4 linked regions of the Lytechinus pictus genome follow. The protein of the gene in region 4 purifies or fractionates together with the protein of the main gene of each other region. This does not show direct contact. Links are inferred from orthologs where the notes say so. Each region holds a gene or a part of one and is shown on either strand. Other genes may lie near its edges.

Region 1 (7,255 bases), on a different chromosome or scaffold from region 4:
TCAATCTTTGTTAAAGTGAGAGCAGACTGAAATACCGCTGTAAATGTGGCCCCTCATTGAGTTTGTGTCTCAAAATTTACCTTTTCAAAAACCTAGAAATAATAGAGATTAAATCAGCCTGGAATTTCACTTGTAAAGAGAAACAAAATGTTTTGACGGAAATGTATTTATTTGGCTACTTGGTAACAATGCAACAGTGTCTTGTTGCATAAAAAGTTACTATTATGGTACCATTCAATGGGAACTTTGCTGAAATCCTTGATTTTGATTGGCTGTTGATCAGCGTCATCATGGTAATTACCATTGGATGGTAACTTTCATGCAACGGGACCCAGGTAGTGAATGTAATAGTGCGTTATTATTCAAGTGAGACGATATCAGAAGACTAAGCTTCTCAGAATGTTGCAGTGTGGGTAAACTTTAAAGCATTGATTTGAGTAGTTGAGGACTTGATGTGGCGCTATACAAGCATGCTGGTTTGAACTGGCTTTAATATAATAATATAATTTTGCATTGCTAAGAATGGAATATACTGTATATATGTATTTTTTTCTTTTGAAAAGATAGGTAGTAAACCTATGGCAGCTGTGTTTAATGGCTTTGCTGAAAAAAATGAAACTTTACGAATAACAGGGTTTCATTATACATCTATCCTCAATAATAATGATGATAATAATAATAATAGGCATTTAAATAGCGCCAGCTATCTACAAATAATCTGTTCCGGGGTGCATTATGTATAATTATTATTACCCCCAGCTTTAGCTTGAGCTGCCTTTCAGCGCTCAGTACATTCAAGGTATTGATTCTACTGGGTGCCCAGTCACCTCACCTGGGTTGAGTGCAGCACAATGAGGGCAAATTTCTTGCTGAAAGAAAACACACCTTGATTGGGATTCGAACCCACGTCCCTCAGATTGAAAGACGAGATTCGTAACCACTAGAGTACCACGCCCCCACATCTTCCATTCTTTCACTACAGCTCCTTGATTTACATGCATTCTTCATTAAATGATAGAAGGATGTATTAGGTAATGTATCAGAAAAAAATCAAAGTGAAAAGAATACTGATATATATCACAACTCTTTAAAGGTGAAACATATGTCCACATAATTTGGAAAATGCTAGGTTAAACAAGTTAAAGTATCCTCAATAACAGGTATTTTACAAGAGAGGCTAAATGCTTTAAAATGATGAACTTACCTAATGATCTCTTTAGCACTCCCATGGGCAAATGCAGGTTTGGCCACAAAGTAATGTAGAAACAGTGTGTTCAAGGGCTGTGAACAAAATAACACACACACTTCCCTAATGAAGTATCATCATGTCTTGCAGATAACTGGACATATTTCACATTTAACTTTATTATAAAAAAAAAGGATTATTGGCAAATGACTCGAAACATAATGCTTCTGTTAACCACTGGCACTTGGACATTTCACGAATATGATCATCAATTCAAAGCACATACACATTTCAGACACATTCCCAATATATATATCTAATATATAAATGGTTTCATTTCTTTGAGAAAGATCTGGATATCCATCATTCACATCATCATCAATACATGTATATAACTGTAAGCACACATAAACCAAATAGTGAAGAATTTTTTTTGTGAGATAAATTTGCTTGAAGTAGGCACTGGTATAATGAGATAAAACAGATGCTTAATGAACCATTCTACATCAGGCAATTTTGTTTTATTTTGGGGGCTACTTTTTTTAATGAATTTCTAATTCTGCAACCTTGGATTAGCTTTATTATTGCAATGAATGGAGATTTCCAAGGCTCTTTTCTGAGTTTCTAGGCCTCTTTTGAGCTTTTTGGTGGCAAAATCGCCTCAAGCCCCCGTGTAATTTTCTCCATTTTACACCACGTATGATGAACTTACTGTGCATGCTTCTGTATCATAGTATGTATTGAGCCATTGTTGCCATTCCCCGTGATCTACAGAATCCACGTTAGGATAGTCAAAGAACGCAGCATGGGCAAGGATGTCTTCTCTTTCATTGTTGAGGGTCACTGCCAGGACTGCTTTTTCACTGTATGTGAAGCAAAAATGTAATGTGAAACAAGAATGTAAGTAAATAAAGTATAATTCCTGTCTGACATCTTCACAAAATAATGAAATATGTGAATGCAAGTTGTGTTCAGAAATTCAAATGTATACAAGATTTCATTCATTTTGTTCCATTTTCTCTCAGATTATTCCCATTCTTTTCAAGGCCATGAAATTTTACACCATATTTTATAATTTCTTTTATTTTAATGGACTTCAGGTACTGGTACATGTACAAGATAACACATTCAAAGCTTGGTCTGTTGAAGACTATTATGGAGCAATAGATCAATGAGCTCAATGATCGGATATTTTACTGTACATATAATAGGTAGTAGTAAACAGATAATTGTCTTTCTGTAGAATTCTTTATCAACATTGACATTCTCAGACTTTCCCCATCAAGGCTATCAGTTTCAATATTGATATTGATTCCCAAGAAAAGCCATGACTGATGATATTTCTTAGTTATTGTGTGTGGCTTCTAATAAAACCCAATGCATTGTAATAAAGCTTTATTCCTTGTAGCACTTTGAGTGTCAGCACCTTGGAAGAAAGTAAACAAACATGTAAACCTACCGATCGAAACTGAATGAACAAAATAAAAAAATCACTGAATTTATTTAACATGATACAATGTGATAGCACTATACAAAAACATACATCATCATTGTTATTATTTTTATTATTACATTCATAAATGTGAAATGCTTACATGATATTCACAACATCCACCAATCCGAACTGTGGCTGAGTTGATTTGGTAACCAGCTTCAGGATATTTGGAGCATCAAGTGATTCTGTTCGTCTAGCATTGATCACTTCGGTCGGTCCATCTGCTGACTGGACAACAGTAGCCATTTTTACTTTTTCCTGCAAGACTAAAGAGATTCAGATTGATTACCAGGTGATAGCTGTGTAGGCCTATTCTATGTGTCACTGAGAAAGGAACATAAGTCTTAGAAATAATTCTAGTCTATTATGAGAATGAGGAAACCCATCGTTATTTTTAGTGAACACACGTTGTCCACAGCTTCAAGAATTTACTAACAAAAAAAGTTAAATATTAGAGATACGAACGAGTGAAATTAAACTTCGATGCTGACCCACCGAAACAGGGCATGATCACGCCAACCAAGTCAAAGAACATAATTTGGATCTGAATAAATATAACATCGACTCCGACATGAGCTGCTTACGTACTGGATCATGATGGATGCTACTTCAGGCGATAGTTCGTATATAGGCTCCACTACGCTTCACTAGCTACTGCTACCCTCCGCTATATTACCTGAAGGTTCAGGTACATGTAACTGTTAGGTGTAGCGGAGGGTAGCGGTAGTGAAGACTGAAGTGCAACTTAGTGGAGCCTACACGAACCATCGCCCGAGGTAGATCTAGACAGTTGACGGTTGACGGCTGACGGATGCCAATGTTTTTTGCCAATATTGGCCAAATTGGGGGATTTTTTTTTTTTGAAAAGAACTTTCTCAACATTAAAGTTTAACTGATGATAATTTCATGATTTTGAACCTCCCCTCCCGGCTCCCCTGCCCCGCCCCCAGTCGCTCTTCTTGACCGGTTTAAGGGATCTTAACTTGGTTGAGCTCTGCGGCCTTCTCAAGTTAGGTCCTTGGCCTGGGTGGGAGTCGCACGATCACGACACTCCAATGGCATAGACAGTCCAGACACCAGCAGCGGCGGGAAGCAAGCACACGCGCGGTCACGGGCCCCGACTGGCACTCTCTGAGACTGTCGACGCGACGTCCACGGTCGGTTAATTCAAACATTCCATTCTTTCACAAGGTTTTTATTCACATTTATTAATATTCAAAATCACGCATACACAAACAGAAATCAATACACAAGGACATTATATTGAATTCATTATATGAAATAACATACACACCCTTATTCTTAACTTCTACAAAATTGTGTTCGATCCGTGAAAAAAAATTAAAGGGTGAGATCTAGCATATTTTTAGCGGCGGTAGCTCTATGGCAACAAAACTCTTAATTATGTGACTAAAAAAATACAACTACATATTTAAAAAATAATAAAATCTTGTACAAAAAATTAAATTTATCTTTTTTAATATTTTTATGGCTACGATTTAGAGGTTATGAATGCATGTAAGAGTTATGAATATTTTAATACCTTTTTAGTTTTTTATTTACTCGAACAAGCCATATTTCAAAGCGCCATCTCCGTCTAACTGCTTTTTGTAGATTCGCTTCCGAGGAAAAAAAACTGAAAAAACTTGAAACTAATCGACGATTTTCATGGTCTTGACGCTCATACTATCATAAACATGGCTTCTTCTAGCAAAAGTAAAGTTCCCAAAGTTGCGAAGGTAAGTTTCCTTTAAATTGCTTCATTCAATAATAACTAAATAATTGATTGCAATTTCTCCAAAAAATATAACACGCTATGAATGTGAACAAAGATCAGTTGTTATTCCGGTCAGGATAAAGTTAGGGTAAACTCGTATCGTCATTGATGTTTTTCTTTAATTTACATGTAACGTTAGAGTAAAGTGGCCAACAACAAAAAATAATTGAATCAAATAAAAATCGTGTTTATTTCCTTAGTATAAATGTTGAATATTTCCATTAAAAAATAAAAATGCAAATTGAAAAAATGATGATGGTTAACAGAATTGCATAATTATTTAGGATGGGGTAGCCAGGCGGCTTCAAAGTTAGAGAGTAAAAATCATTTACTAACGTAAGGTCACTCTCGTACGAAGCCAGGCCTTCTATCCCATAGACCCACACAATGGAAGCCAAAACCTGAAACTTTCACCCCCGAGATTTCTACTTTCCTTCTAAAAGATCTAGCCTTCTAGGCCTAGCTCTAATTCTAAATCATGTATGATGGGGGGACCTAAAAGCTACGCACTTTGTTTTCAAACAATAAAAACTATCCCAATTTTAATATTTCAACAAATATCTTTCACTAATTTGTGGCAAACATTCTAAAGATCATTAACCAAGAAGAAAATATCGCAAAACTCACTAATACGAAAATCCCGCCGTGTTTTCCGAACCGGTATTTTATAGATGGCAAATATAGCGATCTTCAACGCTTATATATAAGCGTCGAAATTTGTAGCCATCTCCTTGTATTAGTCTATATTATACGACGTGTCAAATTGTAGCGAACTAGTTCGCTATTTCCAGATCTCCTCTATATATATATACACGACGGGAAATTGTAGCGTGTAGCGAACTAGTTCGCTATTTTCCAGATCTCCTGTATATACATACGATGGGAAATTGTAGCGAACTAGTTCGCTATTTTCCAGATCTCCTCTATATATATATACACGACGGGAAATTGTAGCGAACTAGTTCGCTATTTTCCAGATCTCCTATATATACATACGATGGGAAATTGTAGCGAACTAGTTCGCTATTTTCCAGATCTCCTCTTAACGACGGGAAATTGTAGCGAACTAGTTCGCTATTTTCCAGATCTCCTCTATATACATACGATGGGAAATTGTAGCGAACTAGTTCGCTATTTTCCAATTCTCCTCTATGTATACGATGGGAAATTGTAGCGAACTAGTTCGCTATTTTCCAGATCTCCTCTATATATATATACACGACGGGAAATTGTAGCGAACTAGTTCGCTATTTTCCAGATCTCCTGTATATACATACGATGGGAAATTGTAGCGAACTAGTTCGCTATTTTCCAGATCTCCTCTTAACGACGGGAAATTGTAGCGAACTAGTTCGCTATTTTCCAGATCTCCTCTATATACATACGATGGGAAATTGTAGCGAACTAGTTCGCTATTTTCCAGATCTCCTCTATATACATACGACGGGAAATTGTAGCGAACTAGTTCGCTACAATTTCCCGTCGTGTATATATATATAGAGGAGATCTGGAAAATAGCGAACTAGTTCGCTACAATTTCCCATCGTATACATAGAGGAGAATTGGAAAATAGCGAACTAGTTCGCTACAATTTCCCATCGTATGTATATAGAGGAGATCTGGAAAATAGCGAACTAGTTCGCTACAATTTCCCGTCGTTAAGAGGAGATCTGGAAAATAGCGAACTAGTTCGCTACAATTTCCCATCGTATGTATATATAGGAGATCTGGAAAATAGCGAACTAGTTCGCTACAATTTCCCGTCGTGTATATATATATACAGGAGATCTGGAAAATAGCGAACTAGTTCGCTACAATTTCCCATCGTATGTATATACAGGAGATCTGGAAAATAGCGAACTAGTTCGCTACAATTTCCCGTCGTGTATATATATATATAGAGGAGATCTGGAAATAGCGAACTAGTTCGCTACAATTTCCCGTCGTATGTATATAGAGGAGATCTGGAAAATAGCGAACTAGTTCGCTACAATTTCCCGTCGTGTATATATATATAGAGGAGATCTGGAAATAGCGAACTAGTTCGCTACAATTTGACACGTCGTATAATATAGACTAATACAAGGAGATGGCTACAAATTTCGACGCTTATATATAAGCGTTTAAGATCGCTATATTTGCCATCTTATAATTTCCCTTTCCGAACACCTTGATTTCGCCACCCGATGTAGAAGGGGTCCTAAAGCTACGCACTCGATTTATCATGCAAAAAAATAGTATTTCCTGTGCCTCAATTTCTAGAATATATTCATAATATTTTAGGATAAAATGAAATTTAAGTGAATATAACTCTAAAATTCCAAAAAGTTTTTGGTTTTCTCTGCATTTAGAGATTTACTGCAGCCTCTGTAGAAGAAAATGAATAGGAATCGTTCGTCACACTGCAGTCACAGTTCCACACACAGAGTGCGCATTTGCCATTAAAAACTGCATGCGCGATTAGTGGTGCATAGCTTTAGGACCCGCGTAGCTTTAGGACCCCCTACCATACATTGGATAAAACTTCATTTCCGACATTTCTACACTCTCGTTGTTATTTTTAAAACAAGAATTCATCAAAAAAATGAAAAAATATTGTGAAAAGACGGAAGAGACTTGCCCGATGTTTACGCCGCCATCTTGTTTCTTATTGTACTTCCCCAACGTTACGCGACGCTCGCGTCCGTAACGTTGGGGAAGTACAAATTTTACTGCACACAGCAAAATTTTTTGCCCTTTTCACCGCATTCACAACACCCAAAAATGGTCATGGTTTTGAGAGAAAAATCAAAGTTCA
Region 2 (7,546 bases), on a different chromosome or scaffold from region 4:
TTCGCCGTGTGGGTTAGACCCAGCCATGGCACCTCCCATTGACTTTCCCAACATCAATCGTAAGAGTACGCCCTCTAGTGTCATTATTACTATATGGACAGGTCGTACAAAGCATGCTGTCATTGGTGTAATGGCAATGCCCCCCTGGGATATCTTCGTTAATCCAATACTAGGTCTAGTGCAAAGGCCTGGACTAAAAAGAAACTGTGTGTAGGTGATATAGAAGAGCAAATTCAACATGACAGAAGAATGACAGTGCAAGAATTCAGTATTGAATGTAACAAAGATTCACAATAAGAATAGTTTACAAACTCTTACCTTTTGAGGGATGATTAGTCTGAAGAAAATATGTTACGTATCGTCACTATGAGCAAAAAGCTTTGACCGCCTCCATCTTCGAATTCCTTTGAGTACTTGTGCAATCATTTCTCAGTGACGTAAATCCGGTTCCATAATGAGTACGCACGTGGATGTGGTAGTGTGATACCAATAGGGCTTTAATTGGGGTTTGGGGGGCACCCCAAATATAAAGATTCATTATGTTTTGAGAAGTAAAATATAATCCTTTCAAGCATATCTCGATTATTTATGTATTTCCTTCTGATGAATGCTCAGAAATAATGGGAAATGTGTTCCTCGCTAAATATTTAGTGAACTTGCGAGCGAGCAAAGTGAGCGCAAACATTTAGATTGCGTGCTTTTGGAACAAAATGGGTATAAAAGTGACTGAAAAGGCCTGTCTGATAAATCTACTGTGCAAGAAAAATAATAAAAAATAAATAAATTAATTAATTTATTAATGAAATAAATAAATTAATAAATAAAGAAAAAATAATAAATAATTGATAAATAAGTGCAAAAATAAAATAAGAATAAAAAATAAATGAAATAAATGATATTTGTTTATAATAATAACAATAATAATTTTTTTTAATGAATGCTATAAGGTATAAGAGTATATTTCATAAATATATATATGTACATATATATATATATTTTTTCATTCTTACCATTCATAGAAGGAAGGAACAAGTTACTTCCTCCCCCACACGAGTAGAACGGAGAGTTGTGACAACGAAGGGCATGGGAGGGGGGGGGTTATGGTGAGGGGTAGAGGGTAGGGGGACACATGCCATTGGGTTGGAAGGGGGTTTGTATTGTTTTGTTTTGCTTCTGTTTTTTTTTCTTGCTTCTTTGCTATTTTCAAACTCCTTGATATAAAAAAAAAAAAAAGGCTCGGGGGGGGGGGGGGGGGTAGATAGGGTTCAGGTCCAAGACTGATGTTGTTATAGGATATGAAATATTTGAGGAATGAGGCCAAGGTGTTTGGGGGATTCCAAAAGTGACAAAGCCATCAAATCATGTATTTTTTTAATACTTTGTTCGTAGTCATTCGTCTTATTTTCTCATTCTGTTTTTTAAAATACTTTTTCGCCCCCTCCTTAAAATGGATGGGGGGAAGTGGCAATGTGAATTAGACCAAGTGACAATCTCCTTTTTCATCTGATATTACTTTGATTATTCCTCATTTACGCATGAGTGAGCAAAAACAATTTGAAGAAAGGATACCAAAAAGTCATTTGGCGGGGGGTATCTGAATTTCAAAAAGAAATTCACATGCCTAAAAAAGTTCAATATCTGCTCTTTTATTTGATACCTTTATCACAAAAAATGGTCGAGAACAACCAAAAAATTACACGGGGGCGGCGGGCGAATTCGCCCCGGAAAGTCCAAAAAGAGCCCCAGAAAAGGACTAAAAACATTCACACGAGGGCGACTGCAAAACTCATAATCGCCCCCGTCAACACTGTATATTTCACAGTGGCAAATTGTCCATAGACTGTGTACAACGAATAGACCGTCTCGGCTCAGCGAATCGGAGACCGCTGATTGGCCAATCGCGCAGATCACGTCATGACTACGTGGTCGCCAAAATAATTCCTTCGGACTGCGTGCGAAAGTATCGATAGCGATAACGATATCCGGTCACATTGTCTACGCGGGAAATGGTCTTGGTTCGTGATCGGATCGCTCCAGTATCGATCGAAAATTATCGAGACTCGGCAATTTCATGCATATTCACGCGACGCTCCGGATCCGAAACCCGGAAATCAATTGACTTTGTACACGTTGCGATAGACTCTACAAACTCCACGATGCTATATCAACGCTAATTCGTAAGATTTTGACCGAAAATCAAGAAGTAATCGAAATTCGCTTACCTGTTCGGTATCGGTGAGAAAATAGATCCTCCGAGAATACCTTTCATAATTCATATAAATTATAGGAAAGTGAAATTCTAGGTCGATTTTGGTGCGAGGTGATAGAGTATTGTACACTTGTTTTGGTGGAATACTGTGTGGGGCTATGGAAGGCTTGCACTGCGCATGCTTACTATATTTTCATTCATAAATTGGCTCTCGGCAGTGGCTGGATGACGTCATGTAATAAGCAAAATATACACGCCCGCTAGCGTTGAACGCACCGCATGTACAGTACATCTTGTTAAAGCAGAGCCTGCAGCAGAGCAGCCCTGCACTGCTGACCAGCATCCCTTCAATGTGACACACACACACACACACACACAGACACACACACACACACAAACGCAAAAAAGCCGCGAAATAGCTCCAGAAATTGTAGCCCTGGAAAGTGGAAAAAGAGCCCTGGAAAATAAAAAAGTAGCCCTGGAAAATTTTTAAGTTTCTCCAAAAAGAGCCCTGGAAAGAAAAAAAGTAATTTTTTGGTTGGTCGAGAAGTAAAAAAGTTATGTTCCCTCGAAACTATGCTTGTATTTCCATAATTTCATTAGATAAACGTGTTTTCACCGGTTTCCCCACAGAAGCTATCGCATGGTTAACAAAAGACTTAATGCATGGCTGATCGTCAACAAAACGGAGTGTCGAGTGAGTTTGAACGCTAGCCTGTAAAACCTCTTCATTTTATGAAATTATTGAAATTCAAGCCTTATTTCAAATAACCAGAACTTTGTTATTTCTTGACCATTTTCTGTAATAGAGGTATCAAATTAAAGAGCAGATATTGAACTTTTTAAAAATGGGGTTTTCGTTTTGAAACCCAGATACAGCCCGCCAAATGACTTTTAGGTATCCCCTCTTCAAATTGTTTTTGCTCACTCATTTGTGAATGAGAAATAATCTAAGTAATTCCAGATGAAAGAGGAGATTCTAAGCTTTACAATGGTAGGTCATTTGTCTATTGTATTTGTGATTAAGTTATGATAAATCTCGGTTTCGTTTTTTGTGGGACGCACTGTATATATACATGTATATATACTGTTTATTCCTCCACCACACTGACTCACACACCCTCGCACACACTTTTCAAAATATTCAGATGAAAGTATTTGAATAATATACTGAGTTAAATCATATTTTATATCTTATCTGTAACTCGACGGTCCTGAAGCAAAAACCGCTGCGACATTATGCGTTGCGACATGTGACATTATGCGTTGACACTTTGCTGCGACATTATGCGTTGCGACATGTGACGTTATGCGTTAGAAAAACTACGACATTATGCGTTGACTGCGACATGCGTCGGACGCTCTTGGCATAAAGTCGCAATCTGTGACATTATGCGTTGGTGCGACATTATTTTAATGTCACATACACATTTTGAGGGGTTATAAAGTGAATAATGGGGGCAAATTCGGTTTCAAATGTAACTTAATTTGTGTTGTTTTTATCACCACACACTTTCCGAACATTTTACACTGTCATGGTTGAGCGAGCACACTCAAAAACTTAGGAATTAATACTCTTTTTACTGCATAAATGTATTCTTTTCCTAACAATTTCTCAGGATCATTTGAATTTATAGACCAATCAGTGGTGGATCCAGAAGTTGAAAGTGGGGAGGTGCCGAGAAATTGGGGGAGGGGAGCCACTTACATTTTCCAATTTTAACATGTTTTAACAAGTTACATAGGATACTACCATAAACCCCTATGAGAAAAAAAAATGTGCTCACTCAACCATGAACATACATTATCAAAATTTTGTGTGGAGTGGCTAAATGATGGATAGTAAAACAACGTTAACACCATAAAATTCACAAAAAACAACCTTTGCCCAACTTTGTATTAACACTATCTGAAAAACGACTCTTGTGACTTTAAAAAATTGTCATTTTTAATTCAATCTTTGATTACTCGTGTATGACCCAACCGATCAATCTCATTTTCCCCCAGGAGTTGCTTAGTGAGTGTTAAAAACCACCTACGAAATATTATATCTCAAAAATTATTCTGTTCAAAAGTTATAGCATTTTGATTTAGGGGGGACTTTTTTTTTGTGTGTATAGAACAGGCAATATAATTTATGAAGGCTTGTGTGTCTAACATTTAAAATATTTTTGAAAATGAGGGGAAAATGAGGTTAGTGGAATGAAACTAAAGGTTTGAATAATGGGCTAGAATTGCCAACAATATTAAATGTTATTAAAAACAATTTATGTACTCACTTTTTACCTATTTTTCTGTATTGATTGTATTTTACAGATGAGTGGCAGTCAGAAAAGGAAGAGTTATGCTCCTACAGTGGAGCAGCTTAATGCAGACTTTTTGACACAGCTTGGCAGTCGATTTTGGGCTCCAAATAGTCCTACACCACACTTGGCCTATGATCCAAAGGTAGGCATATGGAGATAAATAAATCCAAAATAGTAGATGATTGCTGTGCAGAACTCTTCTTCATTTTGTTTTGATAAAAATAATCCATTGTACCAGAATGTGTATGAATCAGGAATGATGTATGATACATTTTATTGGTTCTTACCACCCATTCCCTGAGATTATAAACTAAATTAAGGTACTGGATTTTAATAAAGAGATGTAAACTGAAGACAACAAGTGAAATCTATTATTCCTACCTATAAGAAGTGGACATTCATACAAAGGAGAAGAAACAGAGGTAAATAAATGAACTCATAATGACTATCATTGGTGTTCTGTTTGTTTATAAGTTGAAAGCAGCAAGAGTATTCATACTTAAATGATTCAGATATTATTTGTGCTTGAAGATTATTTTATTCACGTAAAATAAATGACAGTATGGACAGTCTTTTTATGCCATTTTTGTAATTTTCCATTCATATTGTAATAATTTCAAACCCTTCTCGCAAAATGAATATCTTTGAAAACCCTTCAAAATGTTTAAGAAAATGCTTCTGATTTTAAATGTCAAGATGTATGTATTCTTTTCTTTTATTCACTAGGTGATTGAAGATGTTTACAAGAAAGAACTCTTGAAGAACAAGTAAGATCAAAATGACACTAAGGGAATTTTGTTAAAAGGTTAATAGAATGCGATACAAGCGATATGATAGCATTTTAGGGATGAAGGAGACAAGCAGTCAATTACATAATTGTAAATGATTGCATGATTTATAATAGATTTTGAGATTTTAAATGGATTTTTTTCTGATTTCACTTGCAATTGATTGCAATTTAAAAGTTTCTTGTAATGCCCCAAATTGGAAAAAAATGTTCCATTAAAATTTTGATTATCTTTGTTATTTTCAGTATTGTTAAAAGTCTTAACCAATTACCACTTCACTTGTCCAAGCACTGAAATAAAAACTGTAATTCCTTTGACACTGACTATAAAATGCATATTCAAAATTTCTTGCCTATTCTGTTAATATATGCACTTTCTGTTTCTTGTACATGTTATTTTTTTAAATTTTAATTTGTTTCTTAGTCTACTATCATTTTGTTCTTTGTATAATTTGTATTTTTTATTTGTTATGTTATTTTGTTTCAGTATGAGAGAACCTTCAAAACGCTCAAGTTTCTTGAATTGCCACCTGTGTTTAATGTTATATGTTTTGAAATTGCAATATATGTAATAAATAAAATGAATTTAATTGAATCTCATTTAAAACAAATGATGTGAAAAAAGTAGTGTTTAAGGTTTACCTTACTCATGTATTGGTTGTGTTAAAGAGACGTCTGAGTTTGATTGAATATACATAAAAATAATTAGAAGATGATAAGAAAATTATAAAGGTGTGATCAATAAAAAACAAGTTGTCACCTGTGTGATGTAGAATGCTCAATTTATTTGTACCCCCTCAATTTTCTTTGCACAATTCTAATGGTTTAAACATTTGTTTACATGCAGGTTTGCTGCGCGTCGTATCATGGTGCTCGAGTTCAGCCAATATCTTGAAAACTACTTATGGCCAAACTATGACTCTGAAAAGGTAAGACACAATTGATGGAAATGAAAACTTGTTTTTACAATAATAGTATGCTGTGTGAATTTTTTTTTACTTGCCGAGATGTGTCAAATATACGTTAAAGGCCTTTCTACACAAATAATGGTTTATTAAAACTCTAAAATGAATTGTTGTACATACTACAGAGCTTCCAAGTCTCCCGGATCCTGCGGGAGAATACTGGATTGCGATCCAATCTCCCGTTCTCCCGACCTCATGCCAAAATCTCCTGGATAATCAGGATTTTTAGCTGTTAAATTGCGAAATTCATACAAAAGACTGTTTTACGAGTCTAGCATGTTCAACTCCCTAACACCCACATGGAACCTCCTTATCACATTTTCATTTTACCCAGTAACTTTTACCAGTTTTTGTATAATCGTACATTGATTTCCAATGTAAATGAAGATAATTTTACTGAACGACTGGTGAAGTATTCTAACAAGCCATTTTATTTCCGGGTTCTGCAATGTGTGTGATGAAAACACTTCAGCGGTACTCCATGCACATGGCCCCCGATGCGCCCCGGTGCGGCTCCAGCTGGCCGCGCTGCGCCAGGAAGCTACGATAAGGGAAGTTCACGAGCACTGAGAGGCATTTTTCGTAAGCTTGTGTGCGCTTTATTCGAGCTGAAACTGTGGATCAACGATGGGATTAACAAGTGGATTACTTTTACACCCCGACTTTCAGTTTCAGGAAAAATTTTATTGACAATCCTAAAGAACCAGAAGCAAAGTGGAGATTTTTTCGCCTACTTTCACTTGGGTTGATCGGATACGAACATTTTCTCTTTCGTGAGTGAGCTAGCTTGGTGCTGGCTGGCTGAGCTGTGCGAAGCACGCCCCGCCCCGATTTATCCACACTACAATCGCATCGCCAGTGACCATGGAGATCATGGAGATGGAGTCATCCAAGACCAAGACGACAAAATACGTTTTGAAGTATAAAGATAATTTTCAAGCGGAATGGGACTGTGTGACAATTTTCACAGGAATCCCTCAGAGACTTTAAACAGTCCACATATAAAGCTCATTTACCATGTTTACCACTACTGCAGCCCCTTCCCTCTCTGGCCAATTAAAGGTATTTTCATGTTGAATGCATTCTTTTATAAATTATTTAAAAAATCTACTGTGTTGCCTGAAGTGTATATTTAGTCAATGACAATTCATGAATTCTCTCTAATGTGCATTTAATCTATCAGAATTTTTTTTGATGGTTTAGACAGCTGTCAGTTACTATCAAATGTTGTTTCTTAATGTGTTTTGCTACCCAAAACTCCCATCCGTGGGACAACGTT
Region 3 (7,451 bases), on a different chromosome or scaffold from region 4:
TGCATAACTCACCTAAAATAAATGATACAATATGAAACGCAAAAGCGGGACCTCTGATCTTTGATTTAACAATAAAACCAGCATGCACGGATCATCAGTAGCATTCTTGATTGCTATCTCAGACATACACCATATACACTCCGTGGATATTCATCGTGTGACGTCACGAAAATAATACAGTTGCATCCACGGGTCCACGGAAGAACAATAAAGTGTTCAGTAATATATATTGACGTGGATAAAATTTGAAACAATACGGCAGACGCTTTTCCCTCCACCCCTCTCGTCTCTCGTACCTTCTATCGCATACAGGAGGTATGAACTCTCCAATAGAGTTTAGATTTCGATGATGCTACGTCGGGCAAACGTATTCCTTTGAAAATACATATTAAACATTGAAGATTCAAAGTGGACCAACTACTAAACTTATAGATTTTAGTTGGACAGTAACCTGCTTGGGCCTTGTATACTTATGATTTATTCCACAACTGAAATGAAACATGTTCATAAGTATTTTTTATTGAAGTCCCGGTAACATAAAGATATACCATTATTGCACACTTCATACAGCGTTTCTAATTGGTTGTTAATGTTTATATTGACCGATAGTTGCATAATATAGTGCATTGATCTCGATTGACTAGAGTACTTTCCCGAATTCATTGCACCCTTCTTCTTTCCATGAACTGCCTATACATTGCTATATGTCAGTGTCTTCTTTAAACCAGCATGTGTCTTGGGCCAAGATTTAGGTTTATATTTATCTGTTTATAATCCAGACATGTTGCCAAATATATTGACAAGGTCGCACCCATCATGCCCATGACTTGCAATGGGTTCAATTGAGGAGGCCTATCCAGGAACAGACTTTATATATAGTTCATTGTATACGGATCATAATTAGCGTTGTTGAATACTAGTAATTATATGGCTTATATAGGGAGATGCTGCAACTAAACGACAAACCAGCTGCAGGGGGAAAGGTTATTGGTTTTTTTTTTAATGAATGGTATAAAAAAAGATTTAAAATCATATCGCAGCGATAAACCCGTTCCAGATTGGCTATTGACTACCGGGCCGCTCCTCTGATGTGCTTATAAAACGAAAAAGATAAGAAAAGAAGAAGATGATAATGAAATAATAGCTTTCTAATACGCGTTGTATGCGGTATCAAAGCTCACAAGAGTTGTCTTAAAACTATTTTCATTTATAATTCCATACCAACTTCTTGGTCTATTGATTTCATAAATGATCATGATGATATACAATACCAACGTAAAAAATACATATAATAGGTACATTATCAGAAAATGATCGAAAGGTTTTTTTTTGCAAGTACGTTGAATGTCATGCAGAAAGTGATTTTGCAGGGGGGGGATTTTATTATTCATATTTTTTTGTTGCTGGGACTCATTACAATTCCAATAATTCATCTTATCTTATTAATTTACAATTCAATATAGTTTTATGTATTTTAACGCATAGCTTCCTTTAATAGAGACTGATTATTTGTTCTCAATGCTTTTTTTAACGAGACGACATAAGTCACATGTCGCTGAAAAGTAAAAACATAAAAGAGAGCAAGTTAAACGCAAATTTTAAGTTCCATTAAAAGGATGTAAAATAATAGTTTTCGTTTCATTATCTCTTCTTCTTTTTATTATCACAGGTAATATCATGAAAGGTCGCCGGCCACTCCTCCCTACAGCACACCCCCTGAATTTCATTGTAAATTACTTTGGCAAAGTCATTTACTGAAAGCACCCAAATTTGGGCGTGGCCCATCGGTGCACCCCCACTCCCCTTATTAATCTTGCTATGCTATTGGATGCTATAAATCAAATTATAAGTACAAAAAGTTCGGGAGACGAAATCTTATCTTGATGTAATTAAAGGTTGTGCCTCGAATAAATCGGCCAGTTATAATGAGATAGGGGAATTGCTTATTTCTCCCCCCAGTCTTTCCTTCCGCCTTCGTTTGGATGATTGATCAGAATTCGAATTAAATATTTCAGCCCATAGGGGCATGGCGACGGCGACTGGGGGAAAAGCATTCTTCTACCCTTGAAAATATTGATACGACTTGGTTTCCGCTAATTGCGGTTTTTATGTGAGTTTAATCATTTTCTCCTAAATCCATCGTTAAATAATTATAGCTACAATCCTTTGAAGGATAATGTGCAGGCCCCTATTCATAATAATTTGGGATTTCATTTCCTCAGGTAACTGAATAAAGCCCATCAGATAAAATATGATATGAATGTAGTTATGAGCATGTCGGGAGATCGAATATTTGTAATGTACATTTTAGAAAGAGAGAAAAAGGGAAGGAAGAATGAATATAAAATATAAGATGAGAAAACTGAGTTGTACCACTTAAGAAAGTGGAGCGTCGTGGCCCAGTGGGTTGGTCTTCTGACTTTGAAACAGATGGTCGTGGGTTCGAATCCCAGCCATGGCGTAATTTCCTTCAGCAAGAAATTCATCCACATTGTCCTGCACTCAACCCAGGTGAGGTGAATGGGTACATGGCAGGAATTTATTCCTTGAAATGCGTGTGCGCTGTAATCTTAGTAATTACGGCTGCCAAGCTACAGCTGGGGTAATAATACCCAAGTCCTTTGGAAGCGCATTGAGACATTATTCATAATGTGATATGCGCTATACAAGAACTGTATATTATTATTATTATTATTAGAAAGATATTACGTTCAATTTAGCCCCCCCCCCCCAGAAAGTCCTGGCGCCCCTTCATGTGTTCCAAGAACTTTAGAGTCAGTGGCGTACCTAGGATTTTTCACAGGGGGGCAAAACCGTCCGCCAAAAAATTTGACAAGCCAAGCCAAAAAAAAAAAAAAAAAAAAAAAAAGGTCTTCAATCACAAATGAAAAAAAAAAATTGACGAGCAAAAAAAAAAAAAAAAAAAAAAAGAAAAAGGTCTTCAATCACAAATGAAGGATTTCGTACCAGAAAAAAAAATTTGACAAGCAAAAAAAAAAAAAAAAAAAAAAGGTCTTCAATCCCAAATGAAGGATTTCGTACCAGAAAAAAATTTGACAAGCAAAAAAAAAAAAAAAAGAAGGTCTTCAAGCTCGTTAGGGGGGCCAATAAAGGTCTTCAAGTTCGTCAGGGGGGGCAAAAAAGGTCTTTCAAGCTCGTCAGGGGGGCGGTGATACGTCCTTTGCATGGGTTGTGGCTCGTCAGGGGGGCAGACTGCCCCCTCTGCCCCCCCCCCCCGTAGGTACGCTAGTGTTTAGAGTAAAAAGTTGTTCTAGTAGTTGGTCCTTAACAATCAAACATATACCGATTCATGCAAATAAGATATAATTTAACAAAATCACACAATTTTGTGACACTTTTTTTTACTCCAAAATTGGTTTGGCTAATCGATAAAAGGTAATTACTTATAAATCGGATCTTTAAAGATTTCGCGTCAAAATGTCGCGTTGTTGTTGCTTCTTTGGTTGTGTGTGTGTGTGTTTTTTGTTTGTTTGTTTTTTCTTTCTCTCTCCTTCTTTTCCTTCTTATGCATTGTTTTAGGGAGACGGGGGAGGGTGAAGTGTGGATGAGTGTGTGTTTTCTTTGTGTGTTTCTTTTTTGATGTAATGGTATTGTAAAGGGGGAATCTAGTCTAACTTGAGATTTTCTATAGATTATGAGTATGTCAGTGTTTTATAATTACATTCAGAGAGAATCTAGAACATGTAAAATATTTTATTGCATTACTATTCAATTCGTGATTATAAATTGTTAAATAAATATGTACAGATTGATTTTAAGTCTACTTGTGGAATAATCAATTTAAATTGTTTATGTATAGATTTTGATGCAGCTATGTTAATGATTTCATGTTATTCATTATTTTCACATATAGAAAATGTGGAAGAAGTGAAATATGACTTTAAACATGTTAAACAGAATAGGGGCTAGGTGTAAAAAGTTTCGTGGATACGTGATTTCCTGTTTTCAAAATTAAAAAAGGGGATTTTTTGGGGTTCACCTTGTAATCCATTTTCTTATTTTTTATTATCCTAAGTTAATCTTCCGCGTAAAAGACACAAATCGTACAATGTAAATACAAAACTTGAATAATCAAACAATTTATAAGTCATTATTGGTTAGGGAGTGGGTGTTCGATGATTTACATGCGCCGCCGTTGCCCCCCCCCCCCCCACCCGTTGTTGTTTAGGGGGCAAGTGCCCCTCATAAGAAAAAAAAAAAGAGATCTAAAATTAAACTTTTTTTTTTTTTTGAGGGGGTGAAATGGGATTTACTTTATTATGTTACGTACATCTTCTTCGAGCATAATCGAGCTATGTAATCCCTTGTCTACCTTTGTTATCCAAATGGGGGCTTGCCAAAATTTTTCAATCAAATCATATTTTATGGACGAAACATAATGAGGAAGTCTGTACTAGTGAGCAACCATATGAGAGCGAACTAGTCGGGCCGAATTTTAGTGCAGAAGAATTGCGTCCACACGACTTTTTCGTGTATTAAAAATCGACGATTTGATAACGCCGAAGACAAAGTGTTGAGAGTTGGAGAAGTATCCTCTTATCAAGTTTTCATTTCAATTTATCCACAAGCTTTTATCGTTCCAAGTACGTTTCTTCATCAAGAAATAGACCTTCATCATGAGGACATAATTCCGGTGAGTAATGTTTTATGGTTCAGTCAATGTAGTGCTAACAAAAATCTTAAGACTGCACTGTTATCCACCGGGCCTCCCTGCCAGCTGTGCCCCATCGCGACGGGGACAGTGCGGGTCGGCACGCGATCGCGATGGCGCCCCTGCCTTCAACTTAAGTTGGAGCTGGACAGAGGTCAGAGCTCTGTTTCCGAGCTTGGCATTTTCGATTGTTTCACTGAGTTGAATGAGTGAGTGATGTGATGTAACACCGAGAGTGAATTTGTATGTCAGTACATGAATTTGGCATTATCGTGATCCAAGTCCCCGCCCCCGGTGACTCGGATCCACGGACAATTATTTTTCACAATGTAAAACTAAAAGTAAAACATGTCCTAAAACGGGCCATATACTCCTAACTAGTAACTAAATTATGCCTTGACTGCGTCGGTGCATGGCCAGGGGTTGGTGTGCGTAGCCAGGAGGCTCCTAGAGAGTAAAAATCATTTACTAATGACGTCCCAGTGCATGCAGTGGGGGGTAGACAGGAATAACCGTCGTTTCTGGGGATTTATTCAACAATTTCTGACATTTTACTGTAATCCCCATTTACCGACGGTAGGGTGTACGTGTGGGCTCGCATGTGTTCTCATTCCCTCCCTTTTGTCAATTCACAGTCCAAAGTTTGATGTAATTTTACACATCGAATTTACAATCTAAAGATGTATAAACAACAAACTTTTAATTCATGATATTACAACATTTAAATACTTTAAACGATATAGATGAAAAAGGCATGAAAAATATACTTTACCGATGTTTAATTGGGTTGAACACGATAAAAATGGTCAAAATGGCAGCCAAACTATAAAATATTTACAAACGAACGTCAACAATCACGAATGTGATATCGATATTGCTTTCGATATTATACGATCTGCTCCATAAGCGAACGAAACCGAAGATAAACGATACTAGTTATACTAGTACTAGTACTAGTTATAATCGCGATATATCGATTCGAGACATTAAGTTAATAACGATAATGACATCATTCAAGATGGCAACTTGCAAGAAAAACCGTCAGGTCAGGTGAAAATGTCTTAGATGACAGATTTCTCAATCATCCAGAGGATTTTTTCAATAACTCCGGCCCAAGGTATGCAATTACTTAAGTTATTTATATTTCCCTGATAATGGAAACCATGAAACTTTAAATTTTGCTTAAAAAACAGTTTTAAATTGCGATCTATAAAACGCTAGTTCACTATACGTTGGCTGTAGGTACGGGGCCCCATCCCCTTCAGTCTATGTATGGTGAGTGGAGCCAACGTAGTTCAGCGGAACAATCAAAATACAGAGACTGAAGCTTTTGGTCTAAGTGGGGGGGTACTCGACCTAAAAGTGGTAGGTATGCATGTGCAGCAGGCGAGACAAAAAACGGGGGCTCTGGAGCGGGCTTGTCCTCGGAATGGGCTTCGGAACTACAAATGTTTGTGAAAACGGGGATCCTTGGAACGGGTCAACTGCATGTGAGTGCGTATGCATCCCTATGGAACGGGCATATGTCCATGCAGCTAGCCCGGCGGCGCGGCACGGGGCTCGCGCAGAGCTAGAGGCGATGGAACAGCGCTCTGCGGCTGCTTTTCACCAAAATTGCAGCTCATTGTAGCGGATCAATGCGGCCGTAACAGCGTAACGAAAAATATGCGAAGCTTTGGAGCTGATTTCTTCTTTTTTTTCGATAAGAAGAAAATACTATGCTTTGGAGCGGCTTTCTATGCTCTTTTTCTCAATAAGATAAAAATGCTATGCCTTGGAACGGAAATTTGAGTGTAAAAATGGGGGTCCCTCCGCGGCACATACCCATATCGCATTATATACTGAGTGCCCCCCTCCCCCCGGGAATAACTTACTGTACGCTTACTCTCCACGGAGCCAGGAATTCCATCCCATTCATGTCCATATATAGACAGCTGGCAGCCGTCTGTTTCGAGGAGCTTTTTAAACACGTCTTATTTCTCCTTGTAGACAGACGGCTCGCTATTGCGCAGCTGCCATTAGGGGGTAAACAATGCAAACTCCCCCCGACGGGGCTCATAGGTTTTTTTTCTTTATTTCATAAAAATATATAAAAAGAAATGGGCCAAAATAAAGATTATTATTCCTTTTTGGCCTGAAATGCACCAAAACGGGAAAAAACAGTGATTTTGGCTGTCGCGCAACTCCCATGGCCAGGTGGGTGTTTCATAAAGCTGTTCGTAAAGTTACGAATGACTTTACGCACGACTGGAACATGTTCTTAGGTCATTTATTACATAAAGATATCACATGGCATAAGAAAGGATCACCAGTCGCGCGTAAAGTCTTTCGTATCTTACAAACAGCTTTATGAAATACCCACCTGATTTATCCGAAATTAATACATAAACATATGGCCATTGAGTCCCTGTACAGATCGAGTTAGAACTTCGGTCTCTGTAATTGGTGAGTGGAGCCAACGGAGTTCAGCTGAACAACCAATAAAACGGAGAACGAAGCTTTTGGTCTAGTCCGTGTACCACCAAAAATCCTGAAACTTTCGCCCCGATTTCTACTTTCCTTCTAAAAGATCTAGCCCTAAATCATGTAAATGGGATACAACTTAATTTCTGACATTTCTACGCTATCGATTTCATTTTTAAACAAGAATTCATTGTTCTTCGCCAATGTTACGGACGCATGCGTCGGTAACGTTGGCGCATGAATATTCATGAGTATTCCAAAAGATCGAGATCTCATAAATGAATATGCAAATGACGAAACTTTCGACTTTTTGTAT
Region 4 (7,441 bases):
AGTGAACAATGATTTGTTTTAAAAAAAAAGAATGAATATACCTTACCTGAATATTATGGTGAAGCCAATTTAAAAGGAGGTGAGACAAGTTTCAATGGAGGTTTAAAAAAAGAATAAACTGTATTATGGTGAAGCCAATTTAAAAGGAGGTGAGGCAAGTTTTAATGGAGGTTTTTAAAAAGAATAAACTGTATTATGGTGAAGCCAATTTAAAAGGAGGTGAGGCAAGTTTCAATGGCGGTTTTTAAAAAGAATAAACTGTACTACAAATTATGGTGAAGCCAATTTAAAAGGAGGTGAGGCAAGTTTCAATTGAGGTTTTTAAAAAGAATAAACTGTACTACAAATTTAAAAGGAGGCGAGGCAAGTTTCAATGGAGGTTTTTAAAAAAGAATAAACTGTACTACAAATTATGGTGAAGCCAATTTAAAAGGAGGTGAGGCAAGTTTTAATGGAGGTTTTTAAAAAGAATAAACTGTATTATGGTGAAGCCAATTTAAAAGGAGGTGAGGCAAGTTTTAATGGAGGTTTTTAAAAAGAATAAACTGTATTATGGTGAAGCCAGTTTAAAAAGAGGTGAGGCAAGTTTCAATGGAGGTTTTTAAAAAAGAATAAACTGTACTACAAATTTAAAAGGAGGCGACGCAAGTTTCAATAGAGGTTTTTAAAAAGAATAAACTGTATTACAAATTATGGTGAAGCCAATTTAAAAGGAGGTGAGGTAATTAGTTAATGGAGGTTTTTAAAAAGAATAAACTGTATTACAAGTTATGGTGAAGGCAATTTGAGAGGAGGTGAGGCATATGTCTACAATGATTTTTTTTAAAGAATGATAAGTGTAGAATATAATTCAAATGATGAAGCCATCTTGAGAGGTGCATGAGGCAAGTTTTCAATGAGGTTTCTAAAAACAATGAATAGTGAAGAGAAAGTTCGCAATTGCTTTTAATAATCCACAAAATTGTGTAGTTATTTATTTCATGCAAATTGCTATTAATTGATTATGCTCATTTGTGCATAATTAGTATACTATACCTATTCCTCTAACTCCCTAAATAAAGCTCCAAATGTTCTAATTTTTGGTTTAGAAACTCTTTGTGGTGTTCTTCGATAATGTATTTCTTGTGTTTTTACCTTTGTATTGCATTGTTATTTTTCAACGATGCTCGGACTCTCGTAACAGCATAAAATAAATCAGTTTAGTTCAACAAAACTAAAAACAATTAGGCATTCATGAATTTTGGTTGAAAACGCATATTCCATTGACGTGGTACACAAATATCACAATTTTGAGCCATTTTTGTCTGATATGCACTTACAAATTGTTTGGTAATTTTCAGAACCCAGTACCCGGGCTTCGCAAAACTGGTCTCAAAACATGCAAAAGACTTTTTTTTTTAAATCGCAGAGCTCAGAGCCCCCCCCCCCCCCCTGCGTAAATAGGTTAAGTTTGCATTAATTTTGAACTTTTCCATTCCCAAATACGTAATATCCCCTCCCCAAAAATGCAATTGTCACTGAAATGGAATATACATAATATATTTTTTAATAAGCCATATTTGCAAAATAATCATCATGTCATCCTTTGTCAACAAGAAATCTGTACATGTCCTCTGGAAGAAAATAATACCTCGGCCGCCTATTAAATTCTAAGTTTTTATTTTGTAAGTATTTTACTTAGCAATTTGGCTGGCTTATCAAAATGCTTAAACTTGTATGCAGATCAGATCTCAGAATTTACCTTATCCAAATTGAACTAAATACTAATACCCATTGTGATGTTATAAATTTTGAGCCAAATAGTGCCAAATGTGTGAATGTATTTCTGTGCGTATCATTTTTGTATATGTAGACTTAAGTCTAGTAGATGGCTGACTTACATTTAAGCAAAATATTTAGCCCAAAAAAAATGCAATTGAATACCAAAGATGGATAAGTATTTTACTTTTGCAAAATACTGAGTAAAATATACTTGAAATTGTGGCTTTAAGAGTAGCATTGAATACCGGCCCTGTTCCTCATCATCATTATCATCCTACTACCACACCAGTTTCTGCAGCACAAACTTTAACTTTCATAGGTTGAGTCCATTTCAAAGCCAACACTCTCACTTTAACTTTTTTCTCTTATAACATGACGTCCACACACTGCCAATCACATCCTTACAACACCAACTGTCAGAGGACAACAGAACTGCAGTTACCATATCATTACCCCCAAAACACCACTCAATTTTGAATTGATCCAAATGAAATATGACTGTGTTGCACAAAAAAAAGCTATGTAGTCATAGTAGATTTTATTGACTTGTACATTCATAAGGCTATGCATATATTTTGAGTAATTGTTGTGTTGTCTTCAGTGATAGTTGGTACCCACTGTGCTTATGGCCAACTTTGGTAAAGGCATACATTGAATAAACTTTTATGTACTGAAAATGATGACAGAATATATTCTAAAAAAATAACATTACAAATGCATGACAGGTAATTTCAACATGAACTATTTCACAATTTGCCAACATGACAATAAAAACTAACCTTAAAAAATAGTAGAAGCTGATGTTGGATGGAAAAGAATATTTTTGTCATACAGCTTGAAAGACATTACATATGTATGCCTCACCTCCTTTTAAATTGGCTTCACCATAATTTGTAGTACAGTTAATTCTTTTTTTAAAACCTCCATTGAAACTTGCCTCACCTCCTTTTAAATTGGCTTCACCATAATACAGTTTATTCTTTTTAAATACCTCCATTGAGGCTTGCCTCACCTCCTTTTAAATTGGCTTCACCATAATTTGTAGTACAGTTTATTCTTTTTAAAAACCTCCATTGAAACTTGCCTCACCTCCTTTCAAATTTGTAGTACAGTTTATTCTTTTTAAAAATCTCCATTAAAACTTGCCTCACCTCCTTTTAAATTGGCTTCACCATAATTTGTAGTAGTTTATTCTTTTTAAAAACGGACTTGCCTCGCCTCCTTTTAAATTGCCTTCACCATAACTTGTAATACAGTTTATTCTTTTTAAAAACCTCCATTGAAACTTGCCTCACCTCCTTTTAAATTGGCTTCACCATAATTTGTAGTACAGTTTATTCTATTTATAAACCTCCATTGAAACTTGCCTCACCTCCTTTTAAATTTGTAGTACAGTTTATTTCTTTTTAAACCTCCATTGAAACTTGCCTCACCTCCTTTTAAATTGGCTTCACCATAACTTGTAATACAGTTTATTCTTTTTAAAAACCTCCATTGAAACTTGCCTCACCTCCTTTCAAATTTGTAGTACAGTTTATTCTTTTAAAAAACCTCAATTGAAACTTGCCTCACCTCCTTTTAAATTGGCTTCACCATAATACAGTTTATTCTTTTCAAAAACCTCCATTGAGGCTTGCCTCACCTCCTTTTAAATTGGCTTCACCATAATTTGTAGTACAGTTTATTCTTTTTAAAAACCTCCATTGAAACTTGCCTCACCTCCTTTTAAATTGGCTTCACCATAATACAGTTTATTCTTTTTAAAAACCTCCATTAAAACTTGCCTCACCTCCTTTTAAATTGGCTTCACCATAATACAGTTTATTCTTTTCAAAAACCTCCATTGAGGCTTGCCTCACCTCCTTTTGAATTGGCTTCACCATAATTTGTAGTACAGTTTATTCTTTTTTAAAAACCTCCATTGAAACTTGCCTCGCCTCCTTTTAAATTTGTAGTACAGTTTATTCTTTTTAAAAACCTCAATTGAAACTTGCCTCACCTCCTTTTAAATTGGCTTCACCATAATTTGTAGTACAGTTTATTCTTTTTAAAAACCTCCATTGAAACTTGCCTCACCTCCTTTTAAATTGGCTTCACCATAATACAGTTTATTCTTTTTAAAAACCTCCATTAAAACTTGCCTCACCTCCTTTTAAATTGGCTTCACCATAATACAGTTTATTCTTTTTTAAAACCTCCATTGAAACTTGTCTCACCTCCTTTTAAATTGGCTTCACCATAATATTCAGGTAAGGTATATTCATTCTTTTTTTAAAAAAACATCATTGTTCACTTCCCTCACCTAGATCATTTGGCTATATATAATACCTTTTATTCTACACTATTCTTCCCTTTAAAAAAACCTGATTGTACTCCTGCCTCCCCTGATCTGAGTCTGACATTTGCCTCTCAACGTACTGGAAATAGATACCCTTTTTTCAATATTTTTGTGTTTTTGACACCCTTATCACGTTACGTACGTAACGTGCCCTCTCTTGAAAAATACATCCTTTTTACGTGTTTTTTTTGGTCGCGCATGGTATCCACTCGTCAATGTAAGTGGCCCCCCCGGGCGTACTGTACATAGTGTTATTTTATTATCTCTTTATATCGGAAACTTCGTTTTACCGAATTGCCATGCACTCTCTCCGACGCGTTTGAAGTCTTAGACAGCATGGCATACTACCAGCCGATGGTACACACACGCACACACACACACGTTATTTGACAACTTGTCTCTGGAGCCAAAGTTCCTCGCATATAACTACTAGTATCTGCATGCCTGCACGCAGTGTGTATTGAACACGCACGACCACGATCTAATGAATATTCATCGGCGAGACTGACGTCATTTTACGAGTCTCCTTTCAAACTTGGATCATAAGTGCCTACCGTAGTTTACTAGTCAATCGAGCGAGATACGAAGCGTAATCAGTCATGTCGTCAACAAATACCAAGAGAATCGCTTACGTTGGTGAGTTTCTAATCCATTTCCCAATGATTTTTGCTATTGATCGAAGGGACGTCTATATTTTTTCATTTATTTCATTACTTATGAAAATGAAATGGCAATATATAATTGAGAATAAATACGTGTGTACTAATTCGTAGACGTAGTCCCATATGATGGTTTGTGTGTTTGCTTGTCCTGAAAAAAACTTGAGTTTGTCCACTTGCTCACTGGCTCACTGCAACCATCCTGCCTGTGGAGTGTGGGGAATCTACAGGTAGAACCACTCATTCAATGAACAAGGTTATGATATAACCTAGTGGTTGTCAGTTATATCTCCATGTCATGTGTGTGGCAAAATAAGGATGGCAATGTTTGGCTTATTTTCTCTTTTTCTTTGGGACAAATGCTTGATTTTTTTTACACCGACAGTTTCCATTGCACCTATTCGTCATACAACTTGGCCCTTAAGTAAATTTGATTCTTAAAATTATTTTTTTCTTAATTAAAAATAGAGATTAAAAAATGAAAATTTTCTTGCCATATTATTATTTTCCACCAATAGAGGGCGTGCACAAAAATATGCCCCAAATTCAAGTTTTTGAGCGCTCTAGTGAATACAAATTATTCCCAAGTTACAAATGAAAAAGAAATTGCAACTGTATGGAAATTAGTAATTTTGGTCACAAAAGTGAAATTTTAATCATTTTTTAAAGTGTGTGCTCTGTACAGCATTGGCATGCCATAGTCCAACCTGTAGATTCCCCACAGGCAGGGTGGTTGCAGTGAACAAGTGGGTAGAACTAGTCTATGGTATGCCAATGCTGTACATAGCACATACTTAAAAAAATCATTAAAATATCACTTTTGTGACCAAAATTACTAATTTTCATACAGTTGCAATTTATTTTTCATTAGTAACGTGGGAATAATTGTTTTTTTTCACCAGAGTGCTCAAAAACTTGAATTTTGAGCATATTTTTGTGTAAGCCCTCTATTGGTGGAAAGTAACTAACATGGCAAGAAATTTTTCATTTTTCAATCTCTATTTTTGATTAAGAAAAAATGATTTAAAGAATCAAATTTACATAAGAGCCAAGTTATATGATGAATAGCTGTATTGGAAACTGACAGTGTAAAAAAAACAAGCATTTGTCCCATAGAAAAAGAGAAAATAATCCAAAATTGCCACTAGTGGCACTACCTTATTTTTGCCACACAACATGGAGATGTAACTGAGAACAAGGTTATATCATAACCTTGTTAATTGAATGAGTGAGTTTGTCAAGATTTTTTTAGCAAGGACCACAAAATTTAGAAAGCTCTTAATTCTTCATTTAAAAACACATAAATTAAAAATGATCTTCAAGGCTAAAACATAATAAAAATTACTTAAAAGTTACACAAATTCCCTATAACTTCTGGAAAAATAGCAAACTAGATTGTGGTTATGTGCCAAAAAAATACACAGAAGAAATGGTCCCTCACCATGCTCGCTACCCTGGGACTGTGTTGAGCCTCTCGGAGGAGCCATGGAAACATGTCACATTGATAGACCATCAACTCGGTCTCGGCTGCCAGAAAATGTTAAGATACCGCTAAACGAACCACTCAAAATATAATATGCAAGAACACTTGGGGCAAATTCACGCATGACTATTTGTGCACATGCCCAACACGGCAACAGCACAATCTAACGCCCATGTACCTCGAGCTAAGTTCGTGCAGGCTCCACTCCACTTCACTACCACTACACTACGGTCCACCTACCCGAACTTCGAGACCGTGAACTCTATCTGATATTCAGCAAGAAATTAAATCCACACTGCTGCACTCGACCCAGGTGAGGTAAATGGGTACCGGCAGGAAGTAATTCCTCAAAAAGCCGTGCGCACCAGAATTGGTAGACTAGCTTAGCCGGGGTAATATAGGAGCGCCTTGAGCACCTAGCAAGGTGGATACGTGCGCTATACAAATGAAATCCTATATTATTAATATTATTATTAGTTGTGATAAGGCTACATTCCAAACCCATAGCAATTTGTTAATCATGTATCAACTATCATTTCTTCGGATTCTAGGAGGATTGGCAGAAGAGGTAACAGAGAAGACGCTTCATGCAGCCTTCATTCCTTTTGGCGATATCATGGACATACAAATCCCCCTTGACTATGAGACTGAAAAGCACAGAGGTTTTGCTTTTGTAGAGTTTGAGTTTGCAGAGGTAAAGCTCCTGTATTTATTCTTTTATTTAATTACCTACATGTAACAGTTTCTCTACCTTTGAGTTCTCACCACCAAGCGTCTCACCACTGATGAGACTACTATGGCGTGAAATAGGCCCAAAACGAACAATAACCACATCGCTTTTTAATCAGAATTATGTATTGGTAAACTGAGGAATTTGAACCAAGTGTACCGTACATTTGTAGGGTTAGATCAGCTTAAAGTGATTCAGAGACGGATGTGTGTATTTTTAAAGAATTACCAGTACCGTAAGGGCACTAGTATTCAACCCGTTTGGAGAGTTTCCTCAAATATATAGAAATATAAAATTTACCTGAATTTCAGACCCGTCTTATTTTCAAGAGCAAATGCTGGTTATTCTTTTTCCGTTATTCTTTTTCCGTTATTTTTTTCTTCAACCCGTCGACTGTGTGCGCGGGCGATCGAATTATACGGCGATGGTGTTTGGCACTAGTATTTAACCCGTCGGCACTAGTATTCAAC

Evidence for each region.
Region 1: the proteins of peptidyl-prolyl cis-trans isomerase E-like (region 4) and crooked neck-like protein 1 purify together in Homo sapiens (affinity purification with mass spectrometry; 3 studies listed by BioGRID and IntAct, counting the BioPlex papers as one, with this or other methods). This does not show direct contact. The link is inferred for Lytechinus pictus from reciprocal best matches to the Homo sapiens genes PPIE and CRNKL1.
Region 2: the proteins of peptidyl-prolyl cis-trans isomerase E-like (region 4) and RNA helicase aquarius-like purify together in Homo sapiens (affinity purification with mass spectrometry; 5 studies listed by BioGRID and IntAct, counting the BioPlex papers as one, with this or other methods). This does not show direct contact. The link is inferred for Lytechinus pictus from reciprocal best matches to the Homo sapiens genes PPIE and AQR.
Region 3: the proteins of peptidyl-prolyl cis-trans isomerase E-like (region 4) and ATP-dependent RNA helicase DHX8-like purify together in Homo sapiens (affinity purification with mass spectrometry; 3 studies listed by BioGRID and IntAct, counting the BioPlex papers as one, with this or other methods). This does not show direct contact. The link is inferred for Lytechinus pictus from reciprocal best matches to the Homo sapiens genes PPIE and DHX8.

What each region holds. Positions count from the first base shown.
Region 1 is NC_087251.1:43,100,312-43,107,566, reverse strand, and holds the start of crooked neck-like protein 1, read left to right. Parts: upstream 1-4,242; 5' UTR 4,243-4,378; coding exon 4,379-4,420; intron 4,421-7,255. Other genes in the region: cilia- and flagella-associated protein 61-like, read right to left, coding at 1,205-1,281, 1,899-2,049, 2,782-2,927. UniProt on the Homo sapiens protein: Involved in pre-mRNA splicing process. As a component of the minor spliceosome, involved in the splicing of U12-type introns in pre-mRNAs.
Region 2 is NC_087251.1:14,776,832-14,784,377, reverse strand, and holds the start of RNA helicase aquarius-like, read left to right. Parts: upstream 1-4,523; 5' UTR 4,524-4,525; coding exon 4,526-4,657; intron 4,658-5,241; coding exon 5,242-5,282; intron 5,283-6,149; coding exon 6,150-6,231; intron 6,232-7,546.
Region 3 is NC_087257.1:18,521,868-18,529,318, reverse strand, and holds the start of ATP-dependent RNA helicase DHX8-like, read left to right. Parts: upstream 1-4,427; 5' UTR 4,428-4,654; intron 4,655-7,451.
Region 4 is NC_087261.1:25,313,706-25,321,146, forward strand, and holds the start of peptidyl-prolyl cis-trans isomerase E-like, read left to right. Parts: upstream 1-4,440; 5' UTR 4,441-4,698; coding exon 4,699-4,735; intron 4,736-6,792; coding exon 6,793-6,935; intron 6,936-7,441. UniProt on the Homo sapiens protein: Involved in pre-mRNA splicing as component of the spliceosome. Combines RNA-binding and PPIase activities.